Mus musculus: one gene and its partner. Each later gene encodes a partner of the first gene's protein in a complex. Links are inferred from orthologs where the notes say so. Each region holds a gene or a part of one and is shown in the gene's direction. Other genes may lie near its edges.

Evidence for each region.
Region 2: the proteins of Cwc22 (region 1) and Cwc27 are in contact, whole or in part, in a crystal structure (PDB 6YVH), measured with the Homo sapiens proteins. The link is inferred for Mus musculus from reciprocal best matches to the Homo sapiens genes CWC22 and CWC27. Residues at the interface, in NP_001362958.1 of Homo sapiens: Leu239, Arg242, Lys243, Tyr245, Arg246, Asn248, Asp249, Lys250, His270, Glu271, Val272, Leu275, Glu276, Thr279, Leu280, Leu281, Glu283, Arg284, Thr286, Asp288, Ser289, Val292, Val307, Ser308, Pro309, Arg310, Gly311, Thr367, Met369, Leu372; in NP_005860.2 of Homo sapiens: Arg381, Glu382, Asp383, Gln384, Thr385, Leu386, Leu388, Leu389, Phe392, Lys393, Lys395, Leu396, Thr397, Ile400, Glu412, Asp415, Asp416, Glu417, Gly418, Trp419, Met420, Ser421, His422, Val423, Leu424, Gln425, Phe426.

Annotation. Positions count from the first base shown.
Region 1 is NC_000068.7:77,943,834-77,947,583, reverse strand, and holds the start of Cwc22 (pre-mRNA-splicing factor CWC22 homolog), read left to right. Parts: upstream 1-1,227; 5' UTR 1,228-1,434; intron 1,435-1,438; exon of another isoform or gene 1,439-3,750. UniProt on the Homo sapiens protein: Required for pre-mRNA splicing as component of the spliceosome. As a component of the minor spliceosome, involved in the splicing of U12-type introns in pre-mRNAs. Promotes exon-junction complex (EJC) assembly.
Region 2 is NC_000079.6:104,806,826-104,810,475, reverse strand, and holds part of Cwc27 (spliceosome-associated protein CWC27 homolog), read left to right. Parts: intron 1-2,643; coding exon 2,644-2,756; intron 2,757-3,650. UniProt on the Homo sapiens protein: As part of the spliceosome, plays a role in pre-mRNA splicing. Probable inactive PPIase with no peptidyl-prolyl cis-trans isomerase activity. As a component of the minor spliceosome, involved in the splicing of U12-type introns in pre-mRNAs.

The DNA of each region.
Region 1 (3,750 bases):
CTGCCCCAGGCATTTGATGCCAGCCCCTAGGAAGCAGAGCCAGGCAGATCTCTGTGAGTTCAAGACCAGCCTGGTCTACATAGTAAGTTCCAGGCCAGCCAGGGCTACATAGTGAGACCTTGTCCCTGTTTAAAAAATAAACAAAATTCTTGGAGAAGCCAGGCCTGGTTTACAAAATACTTTGAAATATAAAGATGATGTTGTTTTAGGAAGAGCTTTCCAATCACATTAGCATGCTCTTTAACACTTACCTTTTGGTAACACTGAAAATCAAAGACTAAGGAAACAGTATAATTGAGGCCAGTGCTCTAAACTCGTTACAGATTTCACATTCCAACCCTGAAAGTATCATAAATACAACTTGCTTCTTTTTTTTTTAATTTTTTAATTAATTAATTAATTTATTTATTTTCGGAGACAGGGTTTCTCTGTATAGCCCTGGCTGTCCTGGAACTCACTTTGTAGACCAGGCTGGCCTCGAACTCAGAAATCCACCTGCCTCTGCCTCCAGAGTGCTGGGATTAAAGGCATGTGCCACCACGCCAGGCAACTTGCTTCTTTTCTTTTTTCACCTTCCTCTCTCTCTCTCTCTCTCTCTCTCTCTCTCTCTCTCTCTCTTTCAAGACAGGGGCTCATTATGTAGCTCTGGATGTCTTGGAACACACAGTGCCAGTCTCAGCCTCCAAAATATTTGGAGTAAAGGCAGACACCACCATGTTGGGCCTCCAATTTACTTCTCACTGTCCTTACAACATATCATTTATAATCAGATAGTCTTCCATTCACTTGAATTTAAAATCTTGGAACTTAATAGATACTAAACATTTTGTCACTTTCCCCTCTTCTCCCAAACAGACTTTTGGTAAAGCTTCTGTCAAAAATCTGAAAGGGATCGCTACTTTTTTTATTATTTTCAGGCAAGGTATTATATAGTAAGCCTCTGCGGTAGTTTCATAGTATGTATCTTAGTGTTAAGCTTTTACACTGAAAAAAAAAAAAAAGAAAGAAAAGCTACGGTGTCTACTAAGAGCTACTTTTTATGGCTTTAGAAGATGAGTAGTGTTAGAATAAGAAGCATGCCTCGAAAACCTAGCTCTCAAAAGTGTCTCTAGTGTGACCTCCTATCCGAACGAACTACAATTCCCGTCATGCACTGCGGTCCAACTACAACTCATTTCCGTCCGCGCTGCCAGAGCATGCTGGACTTTGTAGTTCACTCGGACTCACATGTTCTTTTCTCGTGTTCTTTGTAAGGAATGACAGTGTTACTAGCTGGATTGCTTTGACTCAAGGTGTTACTATACCGCATTATCATTAATCGTATCACATACCTGCCAATTCACTACCAGTTTTTCACTAATTTCTCGCGCTACTTTCACCCGGGAAAGGGAACTGACGCTCTTCCGGTATGATGGCGGCGCGGTGGAGCTTTAGGTAATTACGGAACTCTGAAGACTCGGGATAGACTAGGAGCCAGAGTGGGGGCGGCGGGTTGCTAGGTCGCGTGGAGAGGGCAGGGACTTGCGAGTGGGCGCTTGCCCGGTGGGCCTTGCTTTCCTCATGTGGCTGCGCCGTCTCCACCGGCGGCCCGCGAGGTGCCGTGTGAGCCGGCTGGGCCTAGCGCCGGCGGCGGGGCGTGCGTGTCTGGGCCTTGGTCTGGGTTGTCGGTGAACACCTCTCCTGGGAGCACCCTGGGTCGCGTCCCCAGTCGGCGTCCCGGGGCTGGCATTAATAAATTCTGGTAACGCGTTTGCCTCATTCCAGCTTATCCCAGTAGCCAATTCTATTACATTTTCATTTATGGATCGTTTTCATTGACTTGACTGAACCCCTGTCATGTTTAGCCCTAGTGATCCATGTTTCGCATCTTCTGTGTTTAGGTCGCATACGTAGTTAACCTTAACTCTAAAAGCCTCTACTATTTGCAACTTCCAAACATGGGTTTGCAGTTCCTGCCCCTAGCGAGCTGCAGGCCCTACAGTACAAACAGCACTGTGCCAGCTGTTTGACCTGCTCTAAATGCAAGACTTTTTTGATACATTGTAGCCACTTAACTCGCCCCCCCGCCCCCCGGAAGAATAATTTGGGGAAAGGTATTAATAGAAACAGTAACTGAGCCCCGGCAAGCCGTTGGTGAGTTTGCCCAGTGGTTAAAAGCACTCTTTCAGAGGGATCTAGGTTCGATCCAAGCACCCACAAGATGGATCACAACAAATTATAATATCAGATTCAGGGGACTGGATACCTGCTTGCTGATAGCCACTTGCACCAGCAACTTGAACTGTCCCTATATGTATATGAAGGCAAAAAAGATCCATACATGTGAAAATGAGCTACCTTTTCTGTTAATTGTGCTCTGTATTTAAACTGCCTTTTGTTTATTTATTTTTCCTGTTCTCTGTGTAGTCTTGACTGTCTTGGAACTCACTCCTTAGAGCAGGCTGACCTCAAATTTAAAGAGTTCTGCCTGCCTCTGCTTTCTGAGTGCTGGGATTAAAGGTGTGGGCTAGCCGGGTTTAGACTGGTTATTTTAGTTGAGTCCTACCTTGTTCATGACTGGCCCAGTCAGACTCAGTCTGGAAATAGACCAGTTCCAGAAAGAAGTGATTATCGGTAATACAGCAGATTGGAACTAATGTCTTTGAGGGTTTTTCTGTCAGATTTCCCTTGTTTTCTCTGTAAGTCTGAAATTACTGCAGGAACTCTAGCCAGCTTGAATGTGGTGGACAAGGCTCTCCTTCCCAAGTCCCCGTGTCTTGTTAAAAACCGTTAGATCACATTCCTCAAGCTAGCCCCCAAGATCTGTTCCCTGATCTAACCTGCAGAGATCCAGCTATCAAAGCATTGAAGTCCAACAATCCAAAACCTCTCTGGGGTCAACTAATTGACATGCCCAATTTAAATTAAATACCTCAGCCTAACCCCTCTACCCGCTACGCTAATATTTTCCTATATGTATGTCTTCTCTCTATCCAGAGACAGTCCTTTGTTCCCTTGGGACAAATACCCCTTTACCCTCTCCCTTGTTCCCTTCCCCTTCTCCCTCATCCTAGTGTCCTGTCTTTGTCTCCTGTTTCTTGCCCTTTGTCCTTCTGGGGCAAATAAGTCTCCTTTGTGCAGAGAACACGCTCTTGGAGTGTCTTGAGCCAACTTTGAGGTTCCCTACAATTACGAGCAAGGGAGGCCGATGGAGCACTAAGGATTTCAGAAAACTCTCAGGCTTGTTAACACTTTTTCTTACACCTCCCAAGTAAACATGGGAGAAGACAGTTGAATGCTTACCTCAGCACAAACTTTGAAGACATTTTTTAAAATGTTTTTTTTAAAAAGATAGCACACATGGGCAGGGGAGTGGATTCAAACAAGCCTTTGCCTATCGTGCCATGTTAGTAAATGCCAGTGAACAGAAAGGAAAGAAAGTGTGGGGCATCCTTTTTTAGGAAAAGCTTCAATGATTAAAGAATTGATAACTTAGTAAGCGAGACCCAGAATTAACTGTTTTTAATCTATCTTTGAGCCTAACTCAGTAGTGGCTTAAGCCAGGCAAAGTTCAATACTTCCTCCTTGAAAATTTATCCTGTGGGTGCTCTGAATCACTTTACAAGGGGAGGCTCTTTCTAGATCAGAGCTTCTGTGATGGGTGGTCGAGCTTGGTGTCTAGAGGCTACATGGTAATATTTCCTTTACACCAGAATATGCTCAGAAGAAAAAAGTATACAAACATAACTTCTAATGATATGAAAGGTCATT
Region 2 (3,650 bases), on another chromosome or scaffold:
ATCATGTGCTTCCAGTCAGCCATTCCCTCTATTTCCTGAACATTCTATTTCCTTTTCCACAATCCTCATATTAGCTAGCTTGCTTGTTTGCTTCCTTCCTTCCTTCCTTCCTTCCTTCCTTCCTTCCTTCCTTCCTTCCTTCCTCCCTTCCTTCCTTCCTTCCTTCCCCCCTCTCTCTCTTTCTCTCTCTTTCTTTCTTCCTTCCTTCCTTCCTTTCTTTCTTTCTTTCTTTCTTTCTTTCTTTCTTTCTTTCTTTCTTCCTTTCTTTCCATGTTTTTCACTCTCTTTTTATGGAAGTAAAGCCAATTTTTATCACTTTGTTCAAAGTCTGCTTTCCATAAAGCTTACCACCTGGCCTGATTCATTATCACTCTGTGTCATAACATGATAATTTTTCTTTATAAGAAGCTTTGCAAAATTTTATATTCACTTAGTATTTTTTATTCTTGAATAATTGTTTATGCAGCTTTACATTTCATACAGTTTTCACAGTTTCTTGTTGGCGTATAGAATGTACTACATACGACTTTAAATGTCTCCAGTGGTGGCAAGTCATTGTCTTCCAGTTAGACCTGATTTTTAGAGACAGTGTTCTTTGTGGTGTCAGAAACAAAGTATTTAAGAATCCAGAGTGTCCTGTCATATGATATGGACAAAGCTCTCCAAATAGAAGAAATTAGATAAATCTATCATGACAGGGGAAAGTGTAAGGACATAATGATAAAAGAATCCAGTCCCTCAGATGAGACGAAGAAAACAGGTCTGCAAAGACCATTATTAGTAATTGCTGTGGCAGGCAGGAAGGAAATAAAATCAGACAGGTAGTTTAGTTAGAATAACTGTCAACAAAGCTAAGAAACACATGAGACAAAGAAAAGTCTGACTTCTGGTAATAAGTTTAAAGAAGCTCAAATTTTACAGGAAAGTGAAATCACAAAAACACTAGAAAGGATGAATGGTAAATTGCAATCCGTGGAGCAGGTGAATAAATAGACAGAAAGAATCTGGACAGAATACAGCAATGAAATAAGCATGAGGTTCAGTTGGGGGCTGACAAAGCTTACCTGCATCAAAACGAAAAAAAATATCCTCCCATTTTTATAAGTAGAAGAAATGAATGGAAATTTTACAGACATAGAGATAACCAGAGCAATATTTGTAATGATTAAACAGGTAAGAATTGAATGAAATTATTGCTAACTAACTGAAAACCTGAGAAGACCGGTGGAGAGATGGCTTGGCACTTCAGCTCTTACGTCTGCTGAAGACTTAATATTTAGGACTGGCTGCCCTGTCAGAGGTCTGGGGTCCAATTCCAAGCACCCGCATGGCGGTACACAGTCAGCAGCAGCTCTACTTCTGGAAGATCCTGTGCTGCCTCTGGCCTTCATGGTCACCAAGCATGAATGTGGTGTGCAGACATACATGCAGGCAAAACATGCATACACTTGTAAAAAGATAGGTATTTCTTAGGTGAGTCAAATAATGTAGATAACTCTATTTAATCTTTAGGAAGAATGATTTGAAGAAGTTACAATATTTCTGAGTCTTATAATGCACCTTTCAGTATAGCAATAGCAGCAACAATGTGTAGTTTTCAGAATAAAAGCAAATGATTGAAAGCATGGATGGGAGGGGCTGAAATGTAAATGAAGTAAATACCTAATAAAAAGTTGGAAAAAAAAAAGAAAGGTGGTCATATCCTTTGAAAAACCCAAATATCTGTAATTATAGATTTAATCTTGGACTTAAAATATAAAATTGTTACAAAGGAAGGAAAAGAAAGCAAAAGGCAACAGTTTCAGTTTTCTTAGGGGATGTCCTATGCTTCTGTCCTACTTAACTAGTGTTTTCCTTCTCAATGATTCTGGTCTCATACCAGGCATTCTAAGGGAGACCACTGATGCTGCATATTTGTGACTAGAAATTATATTTTTATATATAAATAATTTCTGAAAAATCACTTAGATATTTAATTAGAATAAAGTACGTTATTTCACTTATTGAACGTAAAGGAGACTGCACAGACAGTGCTAGAACTTCTATCTGCAGGTTTATATTTTTTGTACATTATTAAGTTAATTTTCTATCAGGAGAAATGGAAGAGGCAAAAATGAGCTATCTCCTACCTAGGCTTCTGAGCCCCAGCAGTGCTAGCCTTTGGGATTGGATATTTTTTGTTGCAGAAACAATCCTTTGGGCTTCAGGATGCTTAGCAGTATTCTTGCCATCTTGTACAAGATGCCAGTAGTATTTCCCAGTTTTCCCAGTTTTGATAGCCAAAAATATTTGAAAATGTTGATAAATGCCCCCAGGGTGCAGAATTGCTTCTTCTCTTTCCTCCAGTTGAAAGACATTGGTGTGTATTAAACTTCTTATTTTTAATTTAAAAACAGTAATTTATAATTGATAATTATGGAGATTAAAGACAAACAAACCAATCCCCCAAAACTAAACCACCATTGTCTCTGTAGAAACATATAGTGTTTGAAAATTGATTGTTTTCTAAGAAGTGGAGAGGAAAGGTTTTGGTTTAAAAGCCAATTTAGCATTCTGGAAATTAAATCTTGTGGCTCTGTTTGTATATTAACTGTGATAATTAAAGTGATACTAACTTTTAGAACTTGATATATTATTTTTCAGCCTACTATGACAACACCATTTTTCATAGAGTTGTACCTGGCTTTATAGTCCAAGGTGGAGATCCCACAGGCACTGGGACTGGTGGAGAATCTATCTATGGAGCCCCATTCAAGGTCAGATCAATTTACTTGCAACGCTTCTTCAAAAGTGATCGTGTCCCACAAGAATGTCTCATGTAATATACAAAGTCAGTGGAGTTAAAGTTTTTCAGAGATCAGAGCAAATACTACCTACCGAGCAGTCTTTCTGATTTATTTTATGGGAAGCCTTTGTGCTGAAGGCCTAGAAGGCAAAAGTCAAGGTATTTGTCTATCTGGCTCCTGGTGAGATGTACTGTATTCAGATCTTAAGGCTAATATATTAAAGAAAAATAGTCTCTGATGCTTAAAAGGCACTTATTGTGCTAGATGGGTGTGTCATAGATGATTCCAATGTTCAGTCTGAGGGGAAGTTCTGAGTAGCTCTCAGAATACAGAAAGCAACTGAGAAACAGTGGAGCCCTGCACTGTTACACTCTGCTAAGACAGACTCATGCCGTCTCTGAGAAGAATCAACTTAGAATGGTTTAGGACTTTTAAAAACACAGTGAAATCACATTAATGCACTTATAGAAGATTCTCAGAATTGAAAAACAAGAAGAAACCCATCACTTCATAACATGTGCAACAATAGCTGGTGGCTTTACAGTGGTTCAAAGGTGGGTTTCTTGGGAACACTGGACTGTTTTAAAGGGTTGGAGGACTCTGAGGTGAGTAGGAAAATGAGACTTAGACTCTGACTCCCTTTGAGCAGCATCCTTCCTCTGTAAGTAGACTTCCAGAAGATAGTTACGGGGCTGAATATATTTAGAACATACAAGCTGCAGAATTCAGGTTTAAGAGCATTGAACAGATAGTAAATTTGGATTTGATTGTACTTCAAAATCAGTTAAATAAAGCTTCAGTATTTTTGATTAGAAATTGTCTGAGTCTTGCTGGTCTGCTGCGTAGCTGATTGAATATGAAGGG